2 linked regions of the Anolis sagrei genome follow. The protein of the gene in region 2 binds, or shares a complex with, the protein of the main gene of each other region. Links are inferred from orthologs where the notes say so. Each region holds a gene or a part of one and is shown on either strand. Other genes may lie near its edges. The genes, in order: GTF2H5 and POLR2B.

The links.
Region 1: POLR2B (region 2) and GTF2H5 share a complex: the UniProt entries of both Homo sapiens proteins name them as parts of the TBP-based Pol II pre-initiation complex. The link is inferred for Anolis sagrei from reciprocal best matches to the Homo sapiens genes POLR2B and GTF2H5.

Annotation. Positions count from the first base shown.
Region 1 is NC_090021.1:69,035,572-69,052,245, reverse strand, and holds GTF2H5 (general transcription factor IIH subunit 5), read left to right. Parts: upstream 1-10,555; 5' UTR 10,556-10,726; intron 10,727-12,741; 5' UTR 12,742-12,762; coding exon 12,763-12,797; intron 12,798-13,313; coding exon 13,314-13,494; 3' UTR 13,495-13,722; downstream 13,723-16,674. Other genes in the region: protein SERAC1, read right to left, coding at 998-1,129, 2,754-2,843, 4,553-4,689, 6,225-6,261, 7,499-7,590, 10,421-10,428. UniProt on the Homo sapiens protein: Component of the general transcription and DNA repair factor IIH (TFIIH) core complex, which is involved in general and transcription-coupled nucleotide excision repair (NER) of damaged DNA and, when complexed to CAK, in RNA transcription by RNA polymerase II.
Region 2 is NC_090022.1:195,381,091-195,397,505, reverse strand, and holds the start of POLR2B (DNA-directed RNA polymerase II subunit RPB2), read right to left. Parts: upstream 5,913-16,415; 5' UTR 5,787-5,912; coding exon 5,768-5,786; intron 2,694-5,767; coding exon 2,621-2,693; intron 2,241-2,620; coding exon 2,090-2,240; intron 990-2,089; coding exon 877-989; intron 331-876; coding exon 111-330; intron 1-110. Other genes in the region: NOA1 (nitric oxide-associated protein 1), read left to right, coding at 8,413-9,382, 12,845-13,009. UniProt on the Homo sapiens protein: Catalytic core component of RNA polymerase II (Pol II), a DNA-dependent RNA polymerase which synthesizes mRNA precursors and many functional non-coding RNAs using the four ribonucleoside triphosphates as substrates.

The sequences.
Region 1 (16,674 bases), on a different chromosome or scaffold from region 2:
GAGCTGGTTAAAATAGTTTCTATGCATTTTGATTTTATTGCATTGAATTTAACATTTTATATTGCCTTTTATTGTACAGAAATATTGATTTTTATAAACACTACTGAAATTGTCTTTGTGGTGAAGAATTTTTTTTTATATTTAAGTTTTGTAAAAACAGAATAAAGCTGAAAATGTGTTATAATTTCACATGCAGAAATAACCAATCTTTTTTGTCAAAAATTGAAACAATCCCTACATTATTCTTTTTCTTTTCATTCAGGTTCAAGCTCAGGGAAAATCCGGAATATCAGTTTCAGGTCAGCTCTAATTGTAACACACAATTGAGTTGTGCCTAAATTTCACATTGTGGTGGCATCAGTTCTTAGTTGGATGGATCCTTACTGAAGTTGAAAGTTAAAAGGAATTACAAATATGAGAAAATGCTCCATTAAACGTAATTACTGTATCAGAAATCTATCCATACTGATCCACAATGATTTAATCTGATATTACTGAGTTGTAGTCAAACAATAATTCCATAGAACGTGAGTATTCATAGAATCATAGAGTTGGAAGAGATCTTGTGGGCCATCCAGTCTCTGTTTAAAAGCCTCCAAATAAGGAGCCTCCCCCATACTCCAGAGCAGAGAGTTCCACTACTGAACAGCTCTCCCAGTTAGGTAGTTCTTCCTAATGTTCAGGTAGCATCTCATTTCCTGTAGTTTGAAGCCATTGGTTCATGTCCTAGTCTCCAGGACAGAAAAAAACAAGCTTGCTCCCTCTTACTTATGATTTCTCTTTACATATTTATACATGGTCTATTCATAAACCTATTTGTTCCAAGCCATATGACTCTTGAATCCACTGGAAATTCTCTTGGATATGCCCCATTAAAATGTAAATGCTACTCCAGTGCTTCAATTTAGTCTTCTTCAGAGAGTACTTTCCATGACATTGTTTAGGATTTAACAGTCGTGAGATAAAATATTATCGCTATCTTAAGAAAATACGTTACCACGCCAATACTGATTGGAGGCCAGTTCCTGTACGGCTTGTAATCGGACCTTTTTATCTCCTGACTGACTTCTTTTCACAAGCAGCCACAAGGCACACTCATGATCTTCTGCATCAAATGTGCTGAAGCGTTCTTCAAAAACAAAAACAATTTCAAGTTATTACACTTTCTCTACATTACCAATAAGAATTGAACATAACATTCTTCTAGAACACTTCAAGACATAAGTAATTGCACTATTTAAGGAAGAAACAGTACACAGGCATGCACACAAAATGCAACAGAACAGAAGAAAGTGTTCTATAGACAGCAGACTTATAATGTCATTATTCCTTGTTTAATAACACTTTGAAAAACTGTGATTTCATCAGTATGGGTAGTCTTGTCACCAAAGAAGGCAAGAAATTTATTTACTGTGATGTTCATTTAGGAATAATCTACTACCGTTGAATTTACCATCGCATGCCATCCCAACTAGGCAGGAGAATATTTGTTTTCAGTTGCAACTGTTAGCACTGCTTCCTTCTGCTTCCTTAAAAGGTCCAGCCTAACTTTCACACTATATGAAGAAGAAACTATGTATCCTAAGTTTCTTCTTCACAAAAATAAACAGCTCACTCCATCCAGCTGCTTTACAGATGACCTGCTATGAAGACAGCATTGCATAAACTTCTAAGGTTGCCACATTCCTCGCTGAGTGTGGCCAGACGTTATATGGGTGTGGCTTGTTTTCCAAATCATAATGTATACACGCACACACACACACATTGATCTAGCTAGCTATTGCTCTTCTAGTCACACTTTGACCTAAATTTCTGGGGATTATATGAGACAATGCATCTAATCCAGTGGTTTCCAACCTTTTTTCTGACTAGGGGCCACTTGACCAGGGACCACTTTGACCAGGAACCACTATCCAACATTAGTACAAAAAGAGTTATGAATCAGTTTTTGGTCAACTTTAGATTCAGTTTGGTTATTTGGGGTGCTGATTCAGAAAATTGCATTGGACAGACTACATCAGCTCTAGTTTCTGATACAGAACATATGCCATCCAGTAGTTGCCATCTGCTCTCTCACAGAAAACCATACTTAATAAGCCTCGGCACTATAAGAGGGTTTTGTGAGACCAGTCACTCTCATTACAATGGTGTAGTACCGGTGAGGCTGCAGACCATATTTTAGTTCTTGCGGACCACTTGCGGCCCACGGACCACAGGTTGGGAACTACTGATCTAATCTGACCTATCCTTTTCAAATATATCTTAAGAGTATGTCTAATATCAAATGTGCATCATTTTTACTTCCTTGGATGCAGAGGAATTGATGCTAAGCACATGGTGCCTGAAACCTTTCCCCCAGATACATATTTTCGTAAATCAACTTACTATCTTCAAAAATGCATAGATTTAGACAGCTAGTTCCATTATGGTGCTAAAGCTTCTGCAACTTTCAAGCTAGATAGAAGTATCAACAGAAAGGTGGGGAAAGGGTGCTATGCAAGGTGTTTCTGTTGCACTGCAGAAAATCTACAAAGAATCAAAGACGCAACAAAGTGAAGCCCAGTGATCAAGGAACAGGGAAGGAAAGAATGGTTTTGGTGTGCTCAGATTAGTTCAAAACAAAAGAGACACAGAAAGAGGGATTTAAGTCTTCACAATATCCTAATTATAAAGTACCCAAGGCACTATAGAAATAAAAATAGTAGTTAGGTGTATTGTAGATTTGAAAATTCACTTGTTTATGTAAAACATACCATCGAATGGTCTTCGAAAAATTCTGGCAGTTGTTTCCAGAATTTTCCTTACTGCTCTGTGAAGTTCTTTTCTCACCTGGTAGGTAACACCTACAAAAACAATATACAATAGGGAGAGTCAAAATACATTAAGGTCCTTCCTTATTGAGCATACTTATTATGAATAGAATATTGGCTTTACCTTTTAAAAAAAATACTAAAGCTTTTTCTTCCCTTACAAAGTCTCTGGGCATGACTGTGACAACACTTAATACTAGGAAAAGGGTATTATTGGCACCAGTATCAACTCTATGAGCCAAACACTGGCAGCTTCAGTTATGCCCAAGAGTTGCCAAGACTTGTCTATTTGTCTCAGTTTACTGGCATAGAGAGAAAGAAGGATATAATATCAAAGGAGAACTCAGCAGAGCTTTTGCCTCTAGAGCCAGTATGTGCAAACTTTGGCCCTCCAGGTGTTTTGGACTTCAACTCCCACAATTCCTAACAGCCTACAGTTCAAAACACCTGGAGGGCCAAAGTTTGCCCATACCAGCTCTAGACTCTTTTTTCTGAATCCCAGTAAGAGAACAAAAAGATTTCTCCAGTTAACATTGTAAATGACACAGGAATAATCCTGGCCGTAATGCAGCAGTTCTTGGCCTACACTGGCTGGGACATCTGGGAGCTGAAATCCAAAACACCTGGAGGACCAAATATGTGTGTGTTTTAATTTTAATAACTTTTATTTAAACATTTGAAATATAATACAAATGCCTCATCTCAGCTTCTGGTCAAAGGACATTTAGTATGTTGCCAAGTTTTAAGTTTTGTTTATAGTGTTTTGATGCATTAAAACTATTCTCAATTCGCTTCTGACACGATAAATAAATAAAATCTCACCTTCTATTCCCAGATCTATACGCTGTCCCCTAATCCTCCCATTACTTAGATAGCATTATAAAAACACAGTGGCGGAGGACCAAATGTTGAGTATTACTATTCTAATGGAACATCACTTATACTTCTCTACAAATTGACCTCATGGATAAGTTGATACTTTCTGAGCCAAAATTATGGATTTTGGTATGTTCCATACCAAGGAGGAGAAAGCATCAAGAGCTGCTTCAGAGGGCCAGCCGTCAATGGCTACTGCCATTTTCCTGCCCAAGCATACAAAAAAGGCCTTTTACTACTCCAATCGGAAAACGGATGTTTCCTTTTTTAAAATCAAGGTACAGCATTATCATCCTGGATAACCTAAAAGAAGCCCTGAACTGCTCTATTCTATTTGCATTTACTTAAGAGAAAGTGGCAAAGAACCACTTCTGCCCCTGTTTTCCTGCCCAGCTAAAAGTGACACCACAGTAGAAAGACTAGAGGGGCTGGTGCTTCTTTTAAGTCTGTGGTTCTCAACCTGTGGGTCTCCAGGTGTTTTGGCCTACCAGCCAGTTTACCGGCTGTTAGGATTTCTGGGAGTTGACGGCCAAAACCTCTGGGGACCCACAGGTTGAGAACCATTGCTTTAAGTTCTTCTGAGATGTACTAAGCTCTTGTCTTTCACCACTCTACTCAAGAGAAAGATGTGGCTCCTTTATTGATAAGTGTTACTTACGCTGACCCATGGTTACATCAATTCAGGGTTTGTTGGACTAAAAATTCTAGACTTATGCATGAGTATATATAGTACATTTCTCCAATAATCTCAGTGTAACAAAACTCTTTGGTAATGCCCATAATATCAATCCTCTCTTATCACTGTTTTTTTTTTAAGCTGCTCTCTCAAATCTTTCCGACTGAAGCAGTAGACAATAGTTCCTTACCTTGATATCCATCAGTATCTAAAGAAACTGATGGTAAATAAATGTAGGACTTCAGTTTTTCTTGCTGTGCAACTTGAGTATCAAAAGACAGTGATTTCTTTAAAGCCAGAACTTCATATGCAGCAAACATACAACCACTTAAAAAGACAGGTGGAAAGAACAAAATATATCATACCAAGTATAATGCATATATTTAAAACAGATGATCTCTTAAGTGAAAACTGAACTCATCCCTGTGTGCTGTAGTTCTTTGAATGTTCGATCTAAAAATCTGCTTTGGATATAACAGTCCTTGCCCAATATTACATTTCTCCAATAATCTCAGTGTAACAAAACTCTTTGGTAATGCCCAATATTCATCAAACCAGGAACAAATTATGTGAATGTGCACACCCTCCTTTATTGTCTTCCACTGCTCTCTATATCTTTAATGGTCAGTTTCAATAAAGCTATAATGGTTTTTAAATCAGAGTTTTCCCATCGCAACTGACCCAGGCAACTATATTTTAAGGGTCCCATCCAATCTAAGATATAAAATTACCATTAGATCTGGACTCAGAGATAAAATATGGAATCATGCAAAAATGCAGCAGGCAAATTCCTTTGTGAATGCGATCTTTGGTTTTACTTAATGTATTGACTAACCTCTTTTGATTGACTTCAAGTGCCACAGTTCTTTCTAAATCCCATGTAAACTTTGCTTAAATTATGTCATTAGCAGCAATTGTCCAAATATGGGAAGATTTTCAAATTCCCAGTTCTAACAGATAATTTTTGAAAACATGAGACTATCAAGAGACCAAAAAAGAGTATTTTGTACATAAAAATACTACAAATCTTAATGACCTGAGATGAAATGTGGAAGTACGTAAGTATCATGAAAGCCTACTACAATAAATCAGAAGAAGAATGGATTACAAATTTACCATCTGAACGTTCTTTGGTTCGATGCAATGAGTCACTCCAATCATACTGAGAATCAAAGTAATACATCTTTTCTTTTTGTGAAATGTTACTCTTTCTAAGGCACCTTTCTGCATGGGAGGGAGGTGTTGATCAAAGTATCTATATGAGGAGCAGGGTTAGAGAAGGAAACTCTATAAAGAATAGGCAGGTAATTGTTAATTCCTAGACACTGCTGGAGACATCGTGTATGGTGTTGATATGGCTGTATAACTGAAGAAACGAAGGACTTCCCTAGGGCTCATGAAATCAAGCTGAAGTAGAGGTAAGTGGAGACATTTGGTAGAGTCAAGCATTAGATGAGACCCAGCACTACATTTCTTTGGAGAAAACAAAAAGCAATATCTAGATGTGTTGAAAGAACATCTGACTAAACAAATGTGAAAAGTGACCAAGCAGATCACGTGTAAAATGATTATTATTTTTCTTTTATTTTGGAAGTGGCCTTCATTATTGGTTATGACTGTGTACTACAGGCATTCATAGTAAAATCTGAAAAATGAATATATGTAACATTTTAAATTTCAGTAGCAGAGGGACAAAAATAATATCACGTCAACAACAACATTTTATTAAGGTCCAAAGACCCTTATTGCACCATAGGTGTATAAGGTATGCAGGTTAATGAGATTAACAACATCCAGTTGATTAAACACACTTCAGTTTGAACTATATGCATGAAAATAGATGCTTTCTAATTAACACTTACCCAAGAATAAGTGATCCAGTTAACTTCACAATTTTCCCTTAAAAATAAAATGTTCAGCATTAGTATATACATGCAAAAAAGGCAGATTTTAGTATGAGTTCCCCATGACAGCAGAAATGACAATTTGCAGTGGTAGAGGCTAATTAGTTATACCCAGATCCCACTAAAATCAATATGTGAAGATTGTAACACAAGAACAGCTAATTTTCAATAAAATTCTAGGGTGTTTATGGCAAAGTAAATCTCCCTAAATTCAATGGTGTTTACTCCTAGGATTAAAGATCCGTGAGCATAAAACTGCAACTTTTGTAAGGATTAAATCCAATGTTGTTGTTGTTGTTGGTTTTTTTTTTTTACAAACCATTGTAAAGATATTAGAGCTCAACAATGAAGTTCACCAAATGCAAGGGACTTAATTCAATAATAATAATAATAGTAATAATAAACTTTATTTGTAGACCATCCTATCTCCCCGAAAGGACTCAGGGCTGTTTCCAACGTAAACATGGCAAACATTCAATGCCAAAAAAGGAAAATCATACAAACAAATTACAACAAAACAGACCACATTAAGCAATCTAAAATGTGAGTAAATGTTTGAGCAAATGTTCAAAGAATTTGCTATTTATTTCAATTAGAATAATTTATTTTGTTATTTTTTCACATGTATGTTCCTTCCACCTTCATTCTGAGAAGTTTCAAATTAATAGTAACTATTAACAATTTATTCTGATTTGGAAAGGGCTTTCCCACTTTATTTTGAATGAAGCTTTATATTAAGCAATGTTAGCATTATTCAATTTTTCCTCAGGCTGCTACAGTTCCATAGCATGTGACAAAAAGGGAAGTTTGCTCATTTCTCGCATAAGTTTTCAGAACTACAGAACAACCATGGCTACTTTTTTAAAAAATACTGCTTTTCTGGATGCTGAAGCTTCTCACTAGTCTTCAAAAGCCTCCTATAATCATGTAGAAACCTCCCCCACACTAGAAAATATGCAAAATTATTGCCCACAAGTATCCAGAATACCTCTGTTTTCTTTTGCACTCTCAAAATGTTGAAAGGAAAAAATATCTTTACTTCTTTTGCCAATGTCCACTTTCTTCCTGTCACCATTTTTGAAAGTGGCTATAGAAGAAAACCAGCAAATGGGCTTGGTTTATGTGGGGAGAGGGGGAAATTGACCCCTACCCTCATGCATTTCCTGGCCCCTGCCTTAGAGTAATAATAATAATAATAATAATAATAATAATAATAATAGATTTGCACTTACTGATATTTTTCCATGATTGGTCGGGTTTCCTGGCTGAACCCAGAGTTCCTATCTTTCTACAGCAATTCCCACAATAAGCAGCCAGTGACATTCTGCAAAAGTTTGAAATGGTAATTTAACAGGTAGGTCCTCATTCAAATGTCTTCTTTCTACAGCAATTCCCACAATAAGCAGCCAGTGACATTATGCAAAAGTTTGATATGGTAATTTAACAGGTAGGTCCTCATTCAAATGTCTTTCTCCTACACCCTAGTCCCATTTGTCACCTGCGCTTGCCCTAGTGTGTCCTAAAGAACAGCAAGTATCACGTTTTAGAAATGTTTAAATGAAATGTATGAAATACATTTCACACATGAAATCTTTGTTTATAACAATAAATATTCCTAAGACAGTGAAACATGTACAGAAAAACTCTTAAGGAACTTTAAACATATTTTTCCATGTATCTTGACTGGAAATGTCTATGTGATATAAGGAGCATAAAAGAGAGGAAGCAGAGGGGAAGGAAAAATGTAGCATTCCTTTTAAAACTAACTAGTTCCTATTTTTGCATGAGCTTTCATGGATATAAAACCCCATTTTTTGAATGCAGTACAAAGAAGTGAATTTATATTCATGAAAACCCATGAAGATTATTTTACAAAAAGTTAGATTTAAAGGCGATGTTACAATGTTTTCCTTCTCCCTTTTTTTCTTTTCATACTTCAAGAGATTAATACAAAAAACACATCTCTTTGAATGCAACATTTCAGTTTTGTAAACCTTCACGTATCAGCACATAAACGAGATTAACTGCTCTGTAGAAAACACTCCCAAGGACACACATCCCACACACTGCAATGTGGTAGTAAATTTCAAAATCTTGCATTGGACAGACTGAAGATTTCATCCAGGTGAAATGAGAAAGATTTCTATTGAATGCTCCCCACCCTACCTTTGGGTTCAACAAGTTTTCATCCTACACACAGAGAGAGAGAGAGAGAGAGAAGGTGGATTCATCCATCTTCACTATATAATTATCCCAGAAATGTATACACCCTTAACAGCGGACAAGTCTGTAATATTTATTTTTGCCAGTTCCCCACTATAGACTTTTATCTCGCAATTACCCCTTACAAAGGTACACACCTTTAAATGGATCAAATACTCCAATAGCAGTGTGAAAGAATTACGAGAATGATATTAAATGAAGTTTCTAACCTTTGTACTTTTACAAGGCAAGCAACAATGCAGGGACAATATGAACCTGACATGAAATGGTAACTTAAAATGGAATGTGGAACTGATTGGTGTTTTATGTTTTTAGGATAAACTTTTAATTAATTTAATGTTTACTATTTTTCAATTCCATTTAGGTGTTTATATGTTTTTGTTATTAAATTGTACATTTTTTTATTTTTAACATTGTTAGCTGCTTTAGGTCTCTTCTAAGAGAGAAAAAGTGGAATATACATAATAATAATAATAATAATAATAATAATAATACAACAGATCCCAAATGTAGATTCTGCAAGGAAGCAGATGAAACAATAGATCACATCCTGAGCTGCTGCAAGAAGATCGCAGACAGACTACAACTAGAGGCACCGTTGCTCAGATGATTCATTGGAACTTGTGCCACAAATACCATCTGCCTGCGATAAAGAACTGGTGGGATCACAAGCCGGAAAAAGTTACAGAGAATGAACACGCCAAATTCCTCTGGGACTTCCGGATTCGGACAGACAGAGTTTTGGAGCATAATACTCCTGACCTCACAATCGTATTAAAAAACAAAATATGGATCGTCGATGTCGCAATCCCAGGTGACAGCAGGATTGCAGAGAAACAACAGGAAAGGCTAGTACAATATGAGGATTTAAAAATCGAACTGCAAAAACTCTGGCACAAACCAGTAAAGGTGGTCCCAGTGGTGATCGGCACACTGGGTGCAGTGCCTAAAGACCTTGGCCTGCACTTAAACACAATTGGCGCTGACAAAATTACAATCTGCCAGCTGCAGAAGGCCACCTTACTGGGATTTGCATGCATTATTCGCCAATACATCACACAGTCCTAGACACTTGGGAAGTGTCCGACGTGTGATCCAATTCAACAGCGATCAGAGTATCTGCTGTGGACTCATCTTGTTGTGTTTTAAATAATAATAATAGATAAATAGTTATTATTGAATCATGGATAACAATTATTTTTTAATATAAATATTTTTACCTAACCCTCAAATAATCACTCTATCACAGGCATAGTCAAACTTAGGCCTTCCAGGTGTTTTGGACTTCAACTCCTACAATTCCTAACAGTCTCAGGCCCTTTCCTTTTCCACCTCAGGCGTTTATGCGGCTAAGGGGGAAAAAGAAGGGGCCCGAGGTTGCTGAGAATTGTGGGAGTTGAAGTCCAAAACACCTGGAGGGTCCAAGTTTGACCATGTCTGCTCTATCTGGTGTTAAAGAGTGATGGCTATCTATCTACGTATCTATCTATCTCTATGAAATCTATCTCTCTATGTTTGTGTATATATAGAATATATAGAATATATATATATATATATATATGTACATACATATATCATTAATACATAATATAATATACAATAATATATGTATAGAGGGGATTATTGGTTCCAGCCTGGAACTCTGACCTTCCAAGACTTTTGGACTTCATTTCCCAGAATCCCTGACCATTGGCGGAGGCAGCTGAGGCTTCTGGGAGTTGAAGTCCAAAACACTTGGAGGACTAGCTTGCTTCTCAAAGGACAGAAAAGTAAGAGTCTAACGAAACAGTCAATAAAGGGAGGCCGGTCCCTAGCTGTTGTATAGAGATTGCAGTACTCCCAGGTGCCTTGGTCCCCTTTGGGCTGTGCTAGTGAGCCCTGAAGCCGGGGCTTTCCTCAGGGCGAGTCTCTCCTCTCCCCTCCCTCCCTACCTGTCCATCTCAGCCGCCAGCCTCCGGCTAACAAGCTCCTCAGGCGTAAATCCAGCCAGAAGCCACGCCCACAGGAAAGTCAGCCACGCACGCGCAGCCAATCAAGTTCCATCCAATCCGGTGTTGAGTCGACTAGGCGCATGCGCAGTGTCGACTCTTCTAGAGCCGCGAGGGACATCCGTTCCGGCCGCTTCCGGTTGGTGGACAGCAAGCGAGCTAGAGCTTTTGCGTCGTCAAGGCGACGTCGCTCGTCGAAGGGAGTGTGAACAGGAGCAGGTTGGCGGTGCTTCGTATCTCCTCGCCTTGGTGGGCTGTCGGCCCTGTGGTTCGGTTTCAGTTTTGTCCCCCAGCTTGATTGTTCCCCGCCTACGTACATGGACGCATCTACACTGCAGAATTAATGCGGTTTGGCTCCACTTTAATTACCATAGCTCCATACTGTGGGATCATTGTGGGTGAGGCAGCCACGCTCTTTGGCAAAGAAGGCTAAAGACATAATAAAACTGCAACTCCCATGATTTCAAAGCATTGAGCCCTGGCAGTTAAAGTGGTGTCTTGCTGCATTAATGCTCTAATGTACAAGGAGACCTTTCTTCAACTGTTTGTGCATATACAGGTTAAGCATCCCTTGTTTGGAAATCCAGAATTATCCAAAATCGCCCACATGGGTTATAGAAATAGTGGTATTACTATTTTACTGACACAAAAACATAGTATGACACAGCAAATAATATATAAACAACTTACCTATCCGAACGTGTCTCCCCTTATGAACCGTCCAGGAATTTAAGATCATCTGGGGAGGCCCTGCTCTTGATCCTGCCTGCCTCACAGGCACACTTGGTGGGGACAAAGGACAGGGCCTTCTCAGTGGTGGCCCCTCATCTGTTGAACTCCCTTCCTGGGGATATTAGATCAGCCCCCTCCCTCCTGACCTTTAGGAAAAGAGTAAAAACCTGGCTGATCAAGCAAGCTTTTGGAACCTCATTGTAACCAGATAAACTTAGTATTGTGAACGAATATGGAATGGCTTAATGATGCAAATTGACATGGATTTAAACCTAGACGTCATTTATTTTTATAGTTTTAAATTGTTTTTATATGAATTTTATTATGTGATTTAACCAGTTTTAAACGATGTATTTATGTGTGTTCAGCATCTAATTATTGTCAGTCGCCTTCGGGCTGAAAAGGGCAGGATAAAAGTGTGGTAAATAAATAAATATGCTGGATTTCATATCACAAAATCACAAGTCAAACACTTCCCAAGCATTTAGGACTGTGTGATGTATTATTATTATTACTATTATTATTGTGTCTATATCACGCTTTTTCTCTCCATACAGCGACTCAAAGCGGCTCACAACAGCATTGCAATACAACTTAACATATACATATAAAATCACAGGAGCCCTTGACGATCTTAAAAACTTTCAAAAGCCTTTGCAGTCTGATATAGTTCAAGCTCAATGTTATTAATATAGTCTGTAAAATTACCTTCATATGATGTGTATACAGAACATTAATTTTGTGATTAGATTTCCAAGATATCTCATTATGTAGGTATATGAAGATGTAGGTGTTTCAAAATCTGGAGGGGAGACACAACTGAAATCCAAAACATTTCTGGTTTGAAGGATTTTGGTTAAGGGATTCTCAACTTATGTTGCAGTTTGCGGTTTCTCGCTGATGAGGGATTGCCTTTCATTTGGCTTCAGCAAATCCAGAAAAGGGTTTTGGGTAGCATTGATAGACCTCCCCCATCTCCATTCAAACAAACAAACAAAAAATAACATTCGTTGCATGCAATGCTTCAGTTCTGTAGAAACTTTCTAATCAGTATGTAGCCTTGATGAACTATTCTGCAGGCTGTACTCCTGAGAACATGTTCCCAGATTTTAGACCCAAACCATGGGAGTAATAAGGACAGCCCCTTTTGATGGCACAGGATGGTGGACCTTGGGGATGTTACTGTGCAGTGTGCCTTAAGTATCCACAACAGTTGATCAGAGCATAGCATTCACATAAAAAGCATCAATTCTCACGAGGGAAACAGATACACCTTTCAAGGGAGTAGTTAACCTTGAGATTCCTTCCCTTGCCCAAGGACTCAGAGTAATGGGTCCCAATTACAGGAAAGGAGATTACACTTGAATCCTTGCCATAAGGAAGAACTTCTTGGCTGTAAGAGCTGTTCAAAATAAATTCAATTCTTAACATGTATAGGATTTAAATGAACTGTTCTAACAGGAATTTGTTCAATTTACCAATGTGTAGGGTTTTTTATCCCCCACTGAATATTTTCCTACTTGTTTCTTTAGGAATCGGACACATTTGGGAAGATGGTGAATGTTTTGAAAGGAATACTTATAGAATGGTAAGCAGCAACATATTTGTAATCAGTCATACTTCAGACATGTAGAAGTGGATTAATATATTTGATAAGAAAACCTTTCATAAGGATTTCATTATCATAATACTGGAAGTATTTTTACAGTGATAGTGCCAAGTTCTTTCTTCAGAAAAATAATCCTTGACTTAAAAATATTTTGAGTTTCCTCAGACTTGGCTGTTAGCCATTCATAATCCTTGGGATAACTATCAACTACTATGTTGCCTTAACAGTTCTTGTTTAACCATTTTTAATAATTCTCTCAATAATTTCAAAGACGTCATTATTGAAAACAAGAGTATATTGTCTGCGTAAATGATTGTTTAGTCACTCTTCCAAAGAGTGGATTAAGGTTCATGACTGTGGAGTGACAAACTACTACTGAATAATAATTCATTCTGAGTGCACAGAAGTTTAGTTGTGCTAAGGGTTTAGTTGTGCTAAGCTTACTTCACTTACATGTCATGTGGTAAGATAATATATGTATTTGTATCTTCACAGTGACCCAGCTATGAAACAGTTCCTGCTGTACTTGGATGAGTCAAATGCCCTAGGGAAGAAGTTCATCATACAAGACTTGGATGAAACGCACGTTTTTGTGTTAGCTGAGATGATTAACTGCCTGCAGGAGAAAGTGGGAGAATTAATGGACCAGAACTCTTTCCCCATTACACAGAAATAGACAGTGGGTTAAGTATTGTCTCTTCCACACTGTACTTATCATGTGGAACTGAAATTCTCTGTATAGATTTTCCTGGTGACTGATTTGGGTCAGATTGGATAGATGTCATCCCTCTCATAAATGTGCTGTTATTTATTTAGATTATGTGTGCTTAGGGGTTTTTTCCCCCCTAAATGTGAGAAGTATTTGCAGTTCTGGTGAAAATAAAGTGACTGTCATTACATGTTATTTTGAGGGTAATTTCTTTCATCTTATTAACCTCTCCTGTGTGCCAAAGATTGAGTGAGTGAAGGAAAGGAACAATGCCTGCCATAGATGTGGACGAAACGTCAGAAGAGAATACTTCTGGCACATGGCCATACAGCCCAAAAAACTCACAGTAACACAGCTGTCTATAATTACTAGAAGCTTGTTTTTAATTACAGGTTTTTTTTTCAAAAACGTGGCGCCAATTTGAAATTGTTGTATCTCTGCAACTACAAACTGCCCCTGAATGAAACCTTTACCACTTGAAAGGGTGGCTCGTAGACTTTCAAATGATTACTGCTAGATGCCTCTCCCAGGCCACAAACAGCCCCTAGCTCTAGTCATTTAGCCACAATTGCCAAAGAGTTTTGACAATTTGAAGAAACAGGCCACTATGCATTTCTGAGGAAAACTTGATAACTGACTAAACAGTTTCTAATGTTTAGTGTAATCATAACATTTTGCCATTGTGAAAATGCTTTGAAACTGGGACATCGTTTTGAAACATCTGGGGTTTTTTTTTTGCTCTTTTCTTTTGATATTCACGGCTGCTTTGAAAAGCCTGATACCAATCTCATATTGAATAATAGAAGTGCTTATACTCAGCCTTACGTGTGTTTACTCTGAAAAATATCCTTGAATTCAGTGAGCAGCCTGTGTAGAATTATTTCCTTAGAAAGAGTATTCTTGTGAATCATCTGGAGTTGGACTTTATGCCCTTGGCAGCCATGTTCATTTCCTAATTTTTAACACTAAATTCTGTACTAGGGTTCTGTTCACAATTATTTATAAATAGCAAATAAGTAGCATAATCATTAAACAAAGAGCTTTTTCTAATATTTTTGATCATCCAGTGACATAATTAATGTATAATATCAACATAAATATTACATGTGAATACATGGCTAGAAGCATAAAATACAGAGCTAATAAGCAATCGTTTATACTATCAAAATAAACAATTATCTTGTCTGCATTTATTTTCACTATATAGTACAGTGGTTTTCTACACTACATGGTACTAATGCAGTGAAAACATACAAAATAATGATGTTGTAGCTCATCCAAGCTGTATAGCCAATATCTGCAGGAGCCTGACTGGATTTCTTTGAAGAGGGCACAGCTACTAATGTGCAGAGAAAAGGCCCTTGTTTATTTGTGATCTATTCCTCAGTTTCTAACTCAAATTATGTTGCATGTAAATTACATTGTAACTGGGTTATGAAACAGTTCCTGCTTCACAGTCTGGATCAGTATCATAAGAAATAATTGTATAGCTAATTTCTGACCTCAGAAATGGTAGAGAAAGGAATTAAACAAAGTTTCCAATCATGGCTCTGAAGTGGTTAATATGCATCCCTTCACCTAGTTCTATTGAGCCAAATATTTTCCCATTAATTTAATGCATGCATGATCACAATGATGCAATGCAGTTATAATATTGTATATATATATATTAATTCCCATTATTTTAAGGTATTAATAGCCTCATGCAATAATACGTGAAGCTTTGTTCTTCCTCCTGTTTTTTTTTTTTTTTTAGTTCTGAAGGTTATTTGCCTTATAGCTGGCGGATTTTCTGGATTTTCCATATTTACCTGGGTTTCCAAGGTTGAATTTTTTTCTGGCAATCAATGGATTAACATATATCTGTATATCTCTTATGTATCCTTAAGTCTTGATGTATCGGGAAATTGGCAGAAGAATGAGCTGTTACCATATACATATAAACATGTTGTCCTCAGCTGCACAGCTTCCAAAGACCTTGAATCAGTCTATGCACATTCTTATTGAAAAACAATACACTCCCCCCCCCCCCAAAAAAACCCCCAATCCTCTTACTATAAGCATGTTTGTGTACAATTAGTTCTACACTGGCATTTTGTTTGTAAGGAGCTTAAAGAAAGGAAGAGAGCTTGTCACTTGTAAGAATTTTAGTTATCTATTGTGCTGCAGCAGCCTGTAGGTGGGCCAGCTTTGCTGAAAGGAAAATGTGATGCCTTGGTGCTCAAAAGGCTGCCCGCTCTCTATTTAGCAATTAACTAAAATATCTCAACACTACCTATCATGTCATCTAAACAAAGCAAAGATCTTAGATAAGTCGCTCTGGATCTGGTTGTTTTCTTTGGCTTACTTCCATCCTGATTGCATCAGCCAACAACCCAATAATGATGGATTTGTTATAAGCCAGGCATTTAATTTTATCTCAAGCTTTCAAACCTATCTTTATAATTAGGTTAGTAGCAGGCCTGGAACTAGTCCACCCCCATTGCCATGACACACCACTGTAATACCTAAGTATTACAGCCTCAAGAACTTAAACCAGGCAAATAGAATTCCAAAAATCAGCACAGCCTGTCGCAGTCAATGTTGTTCTCATTCAAAATTATAATAACACAACTACAATAACTTAATTGAAAGGGAATAACACTTAAGAGTTAAGACCATCTGGGGATAGATATTGGCGTTGAACAAAGATCCAAGTTCAACACTTGCATTCAATAACTCACATTACCAGTTACTTTCTTCCTATCATTTTGCCCCAGAATATGTTCTTTGCATTTTGATCTTGTTCCCATAGATAAGAGAAATAAGAATATGAATTTAATGTTTCATCTCCATTGCATAACATATTCCTAAATATATTTAAAATCCTTTGTTATTTCAAATCAAACAATCACATACTCATCTCAAAGTCTTATTAAAGGGTATATGCCAGTAAGGGGAGCTCTTGCTACATTTTTGAAGAAAATTAAAAAATACAATAACTCTGTGTTTGATATATTTTCTGGTTCTTTGCGTTTGTAGTATATAAAGCAGGGAGAGGAACTTTATCTTTTAATAATTGATAACTTGTATAATTTTATTTTTATTACTATTAACTTTGGTCCTATCGGATATTGCACAATTTACTTTGGAAAATGTGAAACAATC
Region 2 (16,415 bases):
CACAGCCTTAAAAGTAAACACATGACTGCTAAGCTGACTGAAGCCACCATGTGGCAAAATATTCAACATTCTATATAGACTATTTCTTTTTCAGAATTCCTACTCCTTACCTTTTCTGATCCATTAATAATAAAATAGCCACCAGGATCAAGAGGGCACTCATTCAGTTGACAAAGATCACGGTCAGTCAAGCCATTTAGCAGGCAATATGTGGATCGCAGCATGATAGGGATCTTTCCTATAAATGTTTTTTGATGTTGCGTCTGTAACTGATCCTCTCCTTCTTTAACAACTGTCTTAGTTATGTCCACATACAATGGAGCAGAGTACCTTTGAAAGAGAAGTTGAATAGACTTGTAATGATATAAGTGATTTCCCAAGTAATTTAAATAATACCAATTCAAGCTTACATCTTTTGTACTACTATACTGTACTTCTGACAACAATAACAAGTGAGGCATCACCCAATAATAATAATAATAATAATAATTTATTTGTATACCATCTTCTCTCCCCAAAGGGACTCAGGATGGTTTCCAACATGTAAGGCAAACATTCAGTGCCGGAAAGAAACCATACACACAATTACATCAAGAGAAACACCTTTGACACTATAACACAATCTAATTAAACTTAACAGACAAAATAACAACTGAAAGCATCGTAAAATACCAAAAAAAAAATCTGCTAAAGCACACCAAAGATAAAAAAATATTTTAAACCCATTTCATTACAGTTCCATCAGTAGAGGTTCAACAAAACCAATGGCCAGGGTTACAAATAGACATGGCAAATTATAAAAGGGTTGGGCATGGGATAGTGGAAACAGGAATATACTGTATACCATCACTAGTTATAAAAGCTGTAGTTTCTTACGTGAGGTTTCTCAGTCTCGCTTCATTTGGCATCATAGGTGAAGGGGCACCATCTCTTTCCCAATGTGTAGGCTTGGATAGATAAATTTGCTCAAATTTCAAAAGATAGCGAGGCTGAAAATGTCCCAAACACATGGATTTGATTAGACATTTTACAGAACATGACAAGTAGCAGCTTATAAAATATGTTTCATTCTAGTTCTATATTATTAGTTAGATTAAGTGTTCTGAAAATATAGGAATGTATAAATGACAAGCTGGGTGGGAGCAAGTGTAGGTGTAGGTAGGAGTGCCAAGGAGGGCAGCATAGGGTATTTTCAGCCAGGCTGTACTCCTCCTGGCACATCTGCATCAGCAGAGCATGCTGATGATTCACTAGGATCAAGCAGAATTGGCGCATGGCCCCTCCAACACTATGCAGTTTAGGCCTGATTTGGTACTGTTCCCCTGTCTCCACTTCACCATCTTCTTCATCAGCCTAATGACAGAAAGTACATAGTTCAAAATAGCAACTTTGTTTTTTTTTAAAAAAACTGGTCTTCATATGAAAAATATGTAGTTCATCATGTTCAGACAATTTTGAATGAAATCAGAGACACCAGAGAGATGGATAGGCACATTTCTGATAAGTGTATGGGGAAAATGCTTATGCTTCATGGAACATAAGTTGTAAAATGATTAGTTTCTTAAGGATTGTCTTATTGTTTCACATGTCATTTTTCATTGCTGGTATCTAGACTAAGTTAATAGCTTTGATGAGAGGCAACAAATGGGAGTTTGGTGTACAGATCCTTCAAAACAGGACTGTACTTTCCTTGAAGAAGCAGATGCAAATATTTTGGGAAGCATTTGGATCTAGTCTTGCCACTAGTAACAAAAGGGAAGCAAACTCTACTTTAGTTGGCCAGGCTGATTTTATGAGAAACATGCCTAAAAGGTGGCCTGCAGAATTTGTCTCCTAATGGGTACAACAATGTAGGATTTCTAAGAGCTCTGAACTTGTTACCTATTAGCTACAGTGCACTGGTATTAAATGCTCCAAATGGCTTGGAACGAAAATACCCAAAGAAACACTGCTTCTTCTACCAGCCCATCTCTTGAAAAAAAAAATAGCCTTTTCTGCAGGGCATCCCATTTATGAAATACCTTTCCTAAACTGCTTTAAACAAAATACCAACATTTTGGATTTGTTTCATCATCATATCAAAACTTACTGGCTCTTCTACTTCGCCTGTAGCATGTTGAGCTTCTGCTTGCAGATCAATGGGTGGGGCATCTTCGACAATTCTCTGCACAGACATCTGAATGAACTCATCAAATGAATCAAGCTGCTGACGGACCAGGCCCTTTTCATCAAAGTAAGAGCTTTGCAAAACAAGTTAAAATCAATGAGAATTACTACTGCAGAATAACAGCGCATTCCAAAATAGCTTCTTCAAATATCCTCCCTAGACCTCCTTGATTAATATAAAAATGTTAGTGAACTACACAAGAGTTCCAAAGCAGAAATACATCGTTTCATTTTTTGATTCATGTGAATATTGTAACATCCCTAACTTCAGAAGAATAATTTCCTCCAGTATTAGACTTGAAACATACTAGTATGTTCAAGTTGCATGATGTATTGTTTTCTGTGGAAGACATTATGGGTAGGTTCTTCAATTCAATGGAATTCAACAAAGTTTAAAAAGGGTTTATTTTAGAGTGAATCTGAATTCTTTCATATTCTTTATATGAACACTTACCTGATGACAATCCAGCATGCTTCTTGCCACAAATCTGGGGTGATTTCATCATCATCTTCATCATATTGCATATCTGCCAAGAAAAGGCAAAGTCCAACACTTCCATAGTCGTTTTTTTAAAACCTTTCGATGCAAATATTTTCACAAAATACATGGGGATAATATATTTCACTTTTATTTCTAAAATTGCAAACATTATTTCCTTTGATCTCAGCAGAGGCCTTCACGGGAAGAACTGTTTTAAAGCTAAAGACAATGCAGTCGCTGTTGCCTGTTTTTGGTCTAAAGCAGTGGTTCTCAACCTGTGGGTCCCCAGATGTTTTGGCCTTCAATTCCCAGAAATCCTAACAGCTAGTAAACTGGCTGGGATTTCTGGGAGTCTAAAACTATTTAGCTGCTTATGATCCCTTTATTTTATCAGTTTAAACTTGTTTACTTATGCAATGCTTCTGAAACTAAATAAAGCAGAGGCCTTGCCCAGGTCTACTATTCAAGAATCTTACAAAGAATAGAGATTCGATTCCCTCTGTGCAAACTACTAAAACATGATCTGAATTCATATTTATATCAAGGCATTTCATATATCTAATTATAATACTTTTCCAAGAATTAAGAATACAGCACTAGGCATTTTTATGAGTATATCACAGTAAAGTAAGGAAAGTTGGTTACAACTGAAAATGCTCATAATTGCTCTATAAGACATCACTGTCTAAAGCAGATCAACAACTTGCAAGAAAATCAAACTCCCTACTTCAGCTGTACTGTGTACTGGTTGAAAAGGTGGCCACAACTCCATGCAGTGCAGGGTACTCATAGTTTACACTGGATTATCATGTTAATATAAATGTTAAAGGTTCCATCCCCAGTCCTTATTCTGCAGGACTGGGTTCAGCACCTTGGACACTTCCTAGAAAGTTTAAATTGAAACTGGGAGTGATTTGCTGCCCAACTGATATGGTGAGAGCAAGCTGTTCCCACTATGGAAAGATGAAACATTTGTTAGAGGAGAGATGTTGCTCAATTGCTCTGCTTATCCAGGCTGAGTCTCATGTGTGGAATACCCTGTCTAAGAGGTGTCCTTGAATTGTGTACAGAGCAGCTGGTGAATTCCTTAAACTTGTCCTTCCCATGACACCAGGCAGTTTAGAAGCACTTGGCCCTTTGACAAGTCTGGTTGACCATTTTATTAAATTGTAAAGCATCAAGCAAACACCTTTTCACCACTTCCAGTGAATGAGCCCTTCCTCAAAGGTCACTGTTGCCACTGAGTGGAGATCCGAATTGTAAATGTACTGTAACCAGAAAAGGCTTTCAGGGTGCTTCCTCCATTGCTTTTAATTTACTTTATTACATGCCATGCTGTGAACTTTACTTGGTACTGTTCCATTATCTGGGTGGAGGCCACTAGGGACTGCTAGAGAAAGATACTTCATTTTATTGGGGTGGAAGGTGGGTTGAAGGAGCAAAACCATTTTCCCCTGTTTTCCTGTTATTCTCCCCACTCATGTCTCTGTCATGGAAACAACCCTTGTCTATGATAAGGGAAGTGGGGAGGGGGAATAACCAGTGAAAATGGGGGAAGTGGTTTTCCTCCTTCAACTCCCCCCCCCACTAAAATGAAGTATCCTCCCTTCCCAATCCTCCCTCCACCTGGATAAAGAAACATAATTACTTTAAGCGATTAATTAAAACCATAAATTATGGTGCGAATCTTGCCTTGCTTCAGTAATTAGAAACTTCAACTTGGCCAGGCTATGCCACCATTAACACGTAGCTGATATAATCCTTAAAGGTGTTCAGAGTTTTCCAAGGTTTTAAATAATAATAAAAAGAAAAAAACTTTATTTGTATCCTGCCCCATCTTCCTAGAAGGACTCAGGGTGGCTTACAAGGTAGTGACAATGCAAACAAAAACATCAAATATATAGCAATAACCCAAATAACCTAAATCAATAAAGTAAACACCAATGAAAAATAAATATGCTTGAAAAATGTTTTGCAAGCATTGTATTGCAGACCTTTCTTCTGTTGCAGATTGGGGGTGGGGGGAGGGAAGGAATGAGTAATTTGGCTAAGGCCACTCAGAATATCTATAGCCCCTTCCACACAGGCTGTATAAAATCCACATTGAACTGTATTATATGGCAGTGCAAACTCAGATAATCCAGTTCAAAGCAGATATTGTGTATTATCTGCTTTGATATTCTGGGTTATAAAGCTGTCTGGAAGAGCCCTATATCTATTTATCTATCTATTTATCAGTATATATGTACGTTGGTTGCTTGGCACCACAAATAATTGAGGGGTTTGAGCCTTTTGGGACTAAAGCTGAGAGAAAGAAAATGATCAAAATGGATTGGCCATTGGTGAGTTGAAGTGACCTCTGTGATGTGACTGGGAAAGAAAAGGAATGATGCTGCTACTAGGACCCCTTCCACACAGCTGTATAAAATCCACACTGGGCTGTATTATATGGCAGTGTGGACTCAGATAATCCAGTTCAAAGCAAATATGGTCATCTGCCTTGAGATTCTGGGTTATATGGCTGTGTGGAAGGGCCTAGGTGACATGTGTATGAGGGGAACGGCGGGAGGAAGGAAACAGATAAAGAAGAAAAAGAAAGGAAAGAAGACAATGGAATGTGGGGGGAAATATATGGGGGGAGAAAGAAGGGAAGTGAAAAGAAAGAAGGACAAAGGAAGGAAAGGATAAAAGAAGAGAAAGGTAAGACTGAGAGAGAGAGAAGTGGAGGAGTGGAGGAAAGGAAAGGATTAAAGGAAAAGAAGGAAGAGAAAGGAAAGAGAGAATGAAAGAGAAGTGGGGGAAGTGAAAGAGGAAAAGGATCGGAAAAAGGAAAGAAAGGTAGAAAAGAGAGAGGGACAAGGTGTATGAGAGAAATGGAGGAAGGAGTCACAATTAGGATGTTTGGCCTCTTGGACCTTACGTGCGTCATCTCACCCTAAGGAAACAATTCCTGCCTTCTTTTAGAGGGCAGGAGTTCTGTGGCCATTGCTGAGCTGCTACCAGGGACACCTTCCAGGGGTATCGCTACCCTTCAGCCGCCCCAACGAGGAAGACGTAGCGCCTCAGGAGAGCCTCCCCTGCCTTCCCCTCGCCCTCCGGCTTCCCTCTGCAGGGCCTCACCTTCGTCCGCGTCGTACATCTTGGCGGCGGCAAGTCAAACTCTCAGGAGCAGAAAACACAGGCGGAGAACGTCGCTCGAGCGAAAGCACCAGCTTATGGTCGCATTTCCCAGGCACTTCCGTCCCGCTTACAAACGTCACTTCCGTTCACTCCAGAGAGAGCCTTGGAGGCCCTTCGCGCACGCGCTTTCTTTGAACGAGCTTGAGCCTTGGCGCCTGCGCAATTCGATTGTGCGCACGACAGGGTGATGCCAAAGAAAGCTATAGACTAGACAAGCTTGTCCATGCCTGCTATAGACAATAATGGAGTCTATCCAGTGTTTTCCACATCTTAGTCTTCCAGATGTTTTGAATTTCATTTCCCAAAATTTATCACTGTTGAACAATCTGCTGGAGGCTGCTGGGAGTTGAAGTACAAAACAGCTGAAAAAGCTAGGCTTGAAAATCACTGGTTTTGCATAAAGAAAGCCCACATGGCGAAACTATTTGGGTGCTGTACTATGACAAGTGGGGTTTATATATCTGTGAAATGGCCAGCTTAATTAGCATTGAATAGCCTTGCAGCTTCAAAGGCTGGTTGCTTCCTACCTGGGGGGAATCCTTTGTTGGGAGGAGTTAACTGGCCCTGATTGTTTCCTGTCTGGAATTCCTCTGTTTCCTAAGTGTAGTTCTTTATTTACTGTCCTGATTTTAGAATTTTTTAATACTGGTAGCCAGATTTTGCTTTTTTCCATAGTTTCCTCCTTTCTGTTGAATTGTGGGAAATTGAATTGTTAGGAATTGTGGGAATTGAAGTGCAGAACACCTGGAGTGCCACAGTTTGCCCTTGCCTTTGAAGGCTATTGCCTTGACGGCTTTTTATTTAGTTTCAAGGGCGTCTTGAGAAACTGCAAGTTGCTTCTGATGTGAGAGAAATGGCTTTCTGCAAGGACATTGCCCAGGGGATGCCTGGATGTTTGATCTTTTACCATCCTTGTGGGAGGCTTCCCTCATGGGGAGCTGGAGTTGACAGAAGGACCTGCTCAACCTGGAATTGAACTGCTGACCTATTGGTCAGCTGTCCTGCTGGCACAAGGGTTTAACTCAATGTGCCAGCAGGACTCCAGCCGAATTCTGCACGAGCTTAGGAGTCCCCTAAAGGCCTGGCCTGCGGTGCAAGGAAGAGGCCACAAGTTGGATTCTTTCTACAAAGGCTTTTATTGCAGGCCAAAGCAACAGGCGACAGCAGGTCATTTTGTGCCCATTGCACAAAACGTTTGTTGCAACTTGAAATGGGGTTGCAATTTTTTTTATCACTTTCACAGAAAATTGAAAGCATTGTCTCATTGGTGTACAAAAATCAATCATTCCATTGGTCCAAGCTGACTAACCGATTTTCATTGGCTCTCCATGACTCTAACAATCAAGAAGGCAAACAGTCACAGTGGCTAACAATCGCACAATTATGCTTTCATATTTCTGGCCCTGAATGTCTCAGTGGTCCAATCTTATGTGCTTTTCTGTTTCAAGCATGGACTTCAAGCGGCTGGGAAATTAGGGGGTACTAGCTAACCTGTTTTGTCCTGATGAACTTTTATTTGAGAGGTAACTTCCTCTCTGTGACAGCATTTTCCCCAACTGTCAAACAAAGGCCTCTGCAAAATGAGGACATATAGGGCTTTCACTCATTGGCACCCATGAAAATTCTATTAAAAACTATGTCTTCCTCAGCACCACTGGGGGTTCCTTGAGGCCTATTGCCTTGAGGCCTCACTTAGGCGATCCCTCATTGTCCGAGTAGGATTGTCTTCCAAGATCGGTGTACTGGGGGTGGGTCTGTAGGTGACTGTGGAGCCCTATTCTTGATCTGCATCTTCTGCCACAGTGTGGGCATTGGTTTCCAGGTGGAAGGTGGTCCCAGTCGTGGTTGGTTTGACACACCTTCCTCTTGGCATGCTTATCTCTTTCGCCCTCCATTCGTGCCTCCTCAAATTCTACAGCACTGCTGGTCACAGCTGACCTCCAGCTAGAACGCTCAAGGGCCAGGGCTTCCCAGTTCTCAGTATTCCAGAGTTTTTAAGGTTGGCTTTGAGCCCATCTTTAAATCTCTTTTCCTGTCCATCAACATTCCGTTTTCCATTCTTGAGTTCGGAGTAGAGCAACTGCTTTGGGAGACGGTGGTCGGGCATCCGGACAACGTGGCCGGTCCAGCAGAGTTGATGGCAGAGGACCATCGCTTCAATGCTGGTGGTCTTTACTTCTTCCAGCATGCTGACATTTGTCCGCTTGTCTTCCCAAGAGATCTGCAGCTGATGGAATTGTTCTAGGAGTTGCATGTGATGTCTGTAGACAGTCCATGTCTCGCAGGCATATAGCAGGGTTGGGAGGACAATAGCTTTATAAACAAGCATCTTGGTATCCCTACGGATGTCCCGGTCCTCAAACACTCTCTGCTTCATTCGGAAAAAAATGCTTTGAGGCCCATTGCCAAGCCTTGAGGCCCAGCCACATTTCAGAGGAGCCTGAAAGGAGAAGTTATGCAGAGTCCAGGGGCCTCCGATAGGGGGCGGTGTTGCTTCCGGAAGGAACGCTCGCTGGCTGGCTGGCTTGGGCCGCTCTGGCCCTCGGACTCGCTGCCCTTCCCTCAGCTTTCCCTCACGGAGGAGCATGAACGGCCTGAGGCGGGCGCTGCAGCTAGGACGGTTGTGGCCTGGGGCGCTCCCAAGGCCTCGCCGCGGCCTGGCCTCTTTCCCGGGGCTGGGCAAGGGCTGGGCCGCGGCGGAAGGAGAAGAGGAGTTCGTCTTCCCGGAGTACCTCCCCTCAGAGCCGGGCCCGGAGGAGGAGAAGAAGCCTCCCGCGCCGCCGCGAGAAAGAGCAGGCCCGAGGCCGGAAGAGCGGCGCCGGAAGCCGCCTCGGGCGAGCTTCCACCAGGCCTCGGGCCTCCCGGACCCGTCGCTGCCGGCCAGCGGCGTGGGCTGCCCGGGCTGCGGGGCCGAGCTGCACTGCCGCGACCCGGTTCTGCCTGGCTACCTGCCCAGCGAGAAGTACCGGGCCCTGAAAGAGGAGGGGGAAGGCGGCGAGGGCCTGGAGGGGGCGGTGTGCCAACGCTGCTGGCTCCTGGTGCACCACCGGCAGGCGCTGAAGGTGGAGCTGCCCCGGGAGGAGTTCCGCAGCCTGGTCGGCGCCGCCTTGAAGGCCCCCTCGCGCCACAACCGCCCGCCCTTAGTGCTGCTCCTGGCCGACCTCCTCGACCTCCCTGAGTCGCTGCTCTTGCCCGACCTGTCCAGCCTGGTCGGGGACCAAACCCACCTCCTGGTGCTGGGCAACAAAGTGGACCTTCTCCCGGGAGACTCCCACGACTACCTGCGCCGCCTGCGGGGAAGCCTTCGCCAGGCCTGCGCCCAAGCGGGCCTCCCCGCCAAGGAGGAGCCGCACCTGATCAGCGCCAAGACAGGCTTCGGCCTGGAGGACCTCATCAGCCGCCTGCAGCGCTCCTGGAAGTTCAATGGGGATGTCTACCTGGTGGGCGCCACCAACACCGGGAAGTCCACCCTCTTCAACGCCCTCCTGCACTCTGACTACTGCAAGTCCCGGGCCTCCCAGGCCATCCACCGGGCCACCATCTCACCCTGGCCAGGTCAGCGGGGCATCATCTCTCCTGCGAAGGTGGCTTCCATTGGGTTGCTGTGAGTTTTTCGGGCTGTAGGACCATGTTCCAGTCATAATAATACAAGGGATATCCGGAAAGTAATAATAATATAATTATTAAACCTCTGAGGATGCTTGCCATAGATGCATCAAAACGTCAGGAGAGAATGCCTCTAGACCAGGGGTCCTCAAACTAAGGCCCAGGGGCCGGATGCGGCCCTCCAAGCTCATTTACCCGGCCCTTGCTCAGGGTCAACCTAAGTCTGAAATTATTTGAAAGCACAAAACAACAGCAATCCTATCTCATCAGCCTAAAGCAGGCCCACACTTCCCATTGAAATACCAATAAGTTTATATTTGTCAAAATTGTTATTCATTTTAATTATTGTATTGTTTTAAGTGTTTTTTATAAGGTATGTGCAATGTGCATAGGAATTCATGGTTTTTTTTCAAATTATAATCCGGCCCTCCCAACAGTTTGAGGGCTGTGACCTGGTCGTCTGTTTAAAAAGTTTGTGGACCCTTGCTCTAGACCATGGCCATATAGCCTGAAAAAACCTACAACAACCCACTAATTATTTATTTATTTAGAGTTTTTATACCCCGGTCATCTCACCTCCGAGGAGGGACTAAGGCCAGCTAACAACATAAAATTAAAATACACTTCATACAATTCATACAAATTACAGCAAAAATCAGTTCATCCAAAAGAATCACAAATTCATCGCCATCCGCTAGAATGGTCAGCAGTTATTGACTCAGTCATCATTCTGCGAATGCAGTATCCCAAAGCCATGTTTTTACCTGCTTTCTAAATGTCATGAGGGAAGAGGCAGATCTAATATCCATCGGGAAGGAGTTCCAAAGCCGAGGGACCACCACCGAAAAGGCCGTGTCCCTTGTCCCCACCAAACGCGATTGCGAAGGCGGTGGGAGGGAGAGCAGGGCCCCTCCAGAAGATCTTAATAACCTTGATGGTTCATAGGGGAGAATCCGTTCGGACAGGTAAATAGGGCCAGAGCCGTTTAGGGATTTATAGGTCAACACCAGCACTTTGAATTGTGCTCGGAAGCTGGTTGGCAGCCAGTGGAGCTGGTGCAACAGAGGAGTAGTATGCTCCCTGTACCCCGCTCCCGTTAGTAATCTGGCTGCCGCTTGTTGTACTAGTTGTAGCTTCCGGGCAGTTTTCAGAGGCAACCCCACGTAGAGAGCGTTGCAGTAGTCTATACAGGATGTAACCAGAACATGTACCACCGTGGCCAAGTCAGACTTCCCAAGGTACGGGCGCAGCTGCCGCACAAGTTTTAATTGTGCAAATTACAGGGTTAGTCAAAATGCATAGGCCAATAAGCCATTCAATTGAATGGCTTATTGGCCTATGCATTTTGACTAACCCTGTATAATAACTTTATATTTATACCCCACCATGTTAGCCATTTTTATGTTGGAAAACGCCCAGACTCCTCTTGAGGAGATAGGGCAGGTTACAAATAAAGTTGTATTATATTATTGTTGTGAAGGCACACTGGGTTGAAAGGAAAACTATATGTCTGGCTATACCCGGTGGCTATTGGTATACCCTCTGATGTACTTCAGTTCTTTAAAAATAATGACGCTTGAGACAGAATCAAAGTTAACCAAATAAGTTTACTGGAAACAAAAGGCAAAGTTCTTGAAAGTCAGAGTTCTTGAAAGGCGAATCAAGATAAAATATTACAAAGTGAAGTTTGTTGATGGAACTTAGTTACACTGATAAAAAACACTTGACTATATTCATAAAATATGAGGTAAAACACTTGACTATAATTGTGGTAAGTCACTTGGTAAAATACTTGGCTATTGAAAATAAAATACTGGACTAAACTATTGGTAAATTCAGCTATGAAGGTCTATGAGGTATACACAGCTTTGACGGTCTGTGAGGTATATACTAAGCTATGGTGATGGTATAGTACAAGCTATAGTGACTATTTTGTATATATATGTGCTATAGAATGCCTGTTTAGATTGCCAGGCCAAGGAACCCAGACAATTTCTGGCTTTCTCCTCTAAAACTCTGATACAGACTAAAAAGGAGGGAAAAGCCTTTCAGACAAGTTCTGAGGCAAAAGGGCTAAACCAACAGGGCCAGCCTTTAGCAATTGTTGTTGCTGCTGCCTGGGGGCATCTTTTTTTTTTTTTTTTTTTTTGGAGGTATAAACTGGCACTTAATTATTTGCTGCCTGGAATTCCTCTTTTTCTCTTTGTTCTTTATTTACTCTCTTGATTCTGGTACTTTTTAATACTTGTGACCAGATTTTATTCATTTTTATGGTTTCCTCCTTTCCATTGATATTGTCCACATTCTGATGGATTTCAATGGTCTCTCTGTGCAGTTTGACATGATTGTTGTCAGAGTGGTCCAGCATGTATGTGTTCTCAAATAATATTCCATGTCCAGGTTGGTTCATCAAGTGCTTTGCTATAGCTGACTTCTCTGGTTGAATTAGGCCTTTTGTTTTCTTTGATTTGTGCTTGGGCACTGCCATGAAAATGAACAAAATCTGGCAGTATTAAAAAAAAACCACCAGGATCAAGGCAGCAAATAAAAAACACCACTCAGAAATAGGGGAATTCCGGACAGCAAACAATCAAGTGGCAGTAAACACCTCCCAAACAAAGAATCCCCTCATGCAGCAACAGGTAGGCTTTGAAGCTGCAAGACTATTCAGCGCTAATCAAGATGGCTAATTGCAACATTCACACTTGCCTCAAATAGACAGGAGTTCTTTCTCCCACCCTAAACATTCCACAGATATATAAACCCCACCTGCCTAATGGCCCACAGACCTCACAAACTGCTGAGGACGCCTGCCATAGATGTGGGTGAAACATCAGGAAAGAATGCTACTGGAACATGGCCATACAGCCCAAAAAACTCACAGCAACCCAGTGATTCTGATGTTCTTTATAAACCATAGCAGAAAAGTTTAAATTTTCACGTCATGTATATAGGATTCAAAGGAAGAAGATGTACAATTTGTCATACCTGGCCATTGTAACATAATTCAGTATTATACTGATATTATACATGGCTGAATGTGTTGAAAATGCAATGTCCTGTCTGTGACTCATATGGTTATAATTAAAACAAGTTTTGAACTAGGAATCACTTGTTGTATGATATGTTCTTTAGCTATTACATTGTACCAGTTCTGAAGAACACAGAAATAAAGCAGAATAAATACTGAAACAATTTTTTTCATCCTTTTTCTCATATTCCCTGTTTGCCACCTCTACGTTTAATTTTCTGTCCATGGCTGGGGTGCTTAAACTTTCTTAAGATGTTAACAAGAATGCCAAACTGCACATAATACTTCTACAGACTGTGTTGTTTATGTAACTACTTTAGAATCTTAGTTTTCAGTTGGGTCCATGTAGTCATAACCAAATGTGGGGTTTTCTTTTCTAGGAACTACATTGAACTTGCTGAAATTTCCAATTATTAATCCTACACCTTACCGAATATTCAGGAGGGAAGCAAGGCTGAAGGCAGATGCAGAAAAAACAGAGGAAGACCTTAGTGAAGAAGAACGAAAACTGCTTAAATCTCTCAAAAAGCAAGGCTATTTAATAGGTGGGTAGTTTTTGGGATCTGTGTTAAGTACTTCATAGCACAAATAGTTAATTTTATTTTTGGTACACGTTTATTTTGTTGCAATCTTTACCTGTTTTTCTCCTACTAGTAATATATGAATGCAGTCTAAATTTAGGCACAATATTCTTGGAGATCATCAGCTAAGACTATAATGGAGGAGAGGTCTATAAACATATAGTTTATATATGTTTATTATTTATTGGGGATAATATACATTCACAAAACACAATCTAGTTCTTTGAGAACATTATTTATTAATGTAGCATAATCAGACTTCCAAAGATTTTTGTTTTTATCATTTTTTGTAACACTAAACTCTGTTGTTTTTGTATATTGGTAAGAGACAAATTGCTTCATACTTGTGTATTTACTACCATACAAGTGTGGAAATACGTAATTTTCTTTGTGGAATTCTAGAGTTAAGAATCCAGTTATTTCTGTACTTCTTTGGAATTAAGTGCATGGGGCATAGTGCAGATATTCTCAAGAGTAAGCATGTGGTACAGTTGCACCATAAAGATATTAGTTCATGATCCACTTCAAAACTGCCTGCCGGGATTGACAGTGAGAGGATCCAAACTATTACATCAATCAGTGTAAGAAATTTCTGTAAGCACAGTATTTTTATTTTGACCATCTATATAAATAAAAATGTAATGTTTGTTTGTGGGATTAACAGAACTCAATAACCTCTGGACGAATTGACACCAAATTTGAACACAAGACACCTATCAAAGCAATCTATGTCCTTCACACACACAATTAATAATAATAATAATAATAATAATAATAATAATAACCGGAAAGAACTCAATCTGCTACAAAGCTAAATGACTATACAGAGCATGCGTTAAAATGACACCCTCCTGCCCCCCCCCTCCTGCATGAGCGGGGGGGGGGGAACAACAGCTGAGAGAGAGAACCACTTTAGAGAGGGAGGGAAAGGTGGCCCATAGATCCTTTTCACAAGCCCCTGCCTCTCCCCTCTCAAACACTTCTGGTCCAAAGCATTTCACCTCCTTGCCAGCCGAGAGAGAAAGAGAGGCGGCATCTTCCTCCTCCTCACACCTAGAGCCAGCCTGCTCTTCCTCCTGGAGGTGCTGTCTGCTTCTCTGCCTTTCTTCCTTTTCTCCCACTGCATTGTTGCTTGGGCATTTAAAAAAAGCCCGACAGGAGAGGGAGGGGAGAAAGAAAGGAAGGAAAGAAGGAGAGAGAGAGCACTCTCCTCCAGATCCACCCCTTTCCTTCCCTTTCCCTCATGGCTGCCTGGGAACTCGCACAGGAAGGATTTTGTGTGTCTGTATAAGTGTGTATGTGTATACACACACACACACACATCTCTACACACTTCAACTTCCAGAAAGCTCACCCATATTGAGTTATGGGAAGGAATTCTGGGAAATGAAGTCCAGTACGCAAAGAAAGGACAAAAACAGGAAACGCTGTCCAGGAAGGCACAATCAAAGAACTCCCGGCAGATGGCCATCCATTTTTACCTTATTGCAACCCTGGGCTACAATATCTACAATAATAATATCTATCAGTCTTTAATAATAATATCTATGCCTGTAATAATAATAACTGTAGTCTATAATAATATCTGTCTGTCAATAATATCTATATATCTATAATAATATCTATATGCCTATAATAATAAAATATCTATACTTCTGTAATAATAATAGCAATATCATATAAATAATAATAATAATATCTATATGCCTATAAGAATATGTCAATAATAATAAAAATATCTATACCTCTATAAATTTTTTTCGTTTCAGGAGTGACTTGAGAAATTGCAAGTCGCTTCTGATGTGAGAGAATTGGCTGTCTGCAAGGACGTTGCCCAGGGGACATTGGTTGGATGTTTTGATGTTTTCCCATCCTTGTGGGAGGCTTCTCTCATTTCCCTGCTTGGGGAGCTGGAACTGACAGAGGGAGCTCATCTGCACTCTTCCCAGAATTCGAACCTGTGACCTGTCGGTCTTCAGTCCTGCCGGCATAAGGGTTTAACCCAGTGGTTCTCAACCTGTGGGTCCCCAGATATTTTGGCCTTCAACTCCCAGAAATCCTAACAGCTGGTAAACTGGCTGGGATTTCTGGGAGTTGTAGGCCAAAACACCTGGGGACCCACAGGTTGAGAACCACTGGTTTAACCCATTGCGCCACCGGGGGCTCCACCTCTGTAATAATAACAGCTATATCATATCAATAATAATAATAATAATAATAATAATAATAATAATAATAATAATAATAACAACAACAACAACAACTAGATGCCTATAATATCTATAGGTCTGTAATAATAATATCCATACGTCTGTAATAATAATACCTGTATATCAATAATATCTATACATCTATAATGATAATAATACTTATTATTAATAATAATATCTGTGTCTATAATAATAATACCTACGTGCCTATAATAATATCTATACATCTATAATAATAATAATAATAATAATAATAATAATACCTATATAATATCTTTGAACAGGGTTATATGGCAGTGTGAACTCAGGTAATCCAGGGCCCTTCCATACATCCATATAACCCTTTGGCCTCTAGGAGACTGAAATGGGCCTATATTATGTTGACACTTTGCCACTTCAGTTGTGTATTGATAGTATAGAAACCAGCTCTTCCTCTTTTCTTTCTTTCCCATTTCTCCACAATGGGCCACAGCAATGTGTGGCTGGGTACAGCTAATACAATATAAATTGTTCTAAAAACTCCACACAATGTAAAAATTATTTTGACATGATGTGTAAGTATAAGCATGTCTGAAATTCTCTTGGGGTCATAGTTTGTCATTTGTTCATTCTTTGATGTTGTAATATGTCAGATTAATTGAATGTGAGATAGAATGAACATGCTAAATGAAGCAGTAAAGAGATTTGCACATTTTGTTTTGAGTTCAGCCATCAGAGAATAGGGTGTGAGGTGTGTTTTCGCTGGAATCAAAACTCAGAATTAAATTACTCCAAAAGTTGAGCCAGAGTGAAGACAGGAGAGGCCAGGGGACAGTTCCACCTTCTCTCCTGAGCTATGCTAATTTTTAATATAATATAATATATTGTATATACATATAATATTTATAATGTAGTACAGTATAATACTAATAATAATATGATATTATAATTATATATTTTGTATTACATGTAATATTACTAATATTACAAAATAATTGTATAGTACAATATAGTGATGTATAGCACTGTTATTGTACTGTGCTCATGGTATAATGTATTGTATGTATTTATATATATCTTGTAAGCCGCTCTGGATCCCCTTCGGGGTAAGAAGGGCGGCATATAAATGTCGCAAATAAATAAATAAAGTTGAAGTGTTGTATTTGAAGCATTGCTGTGCT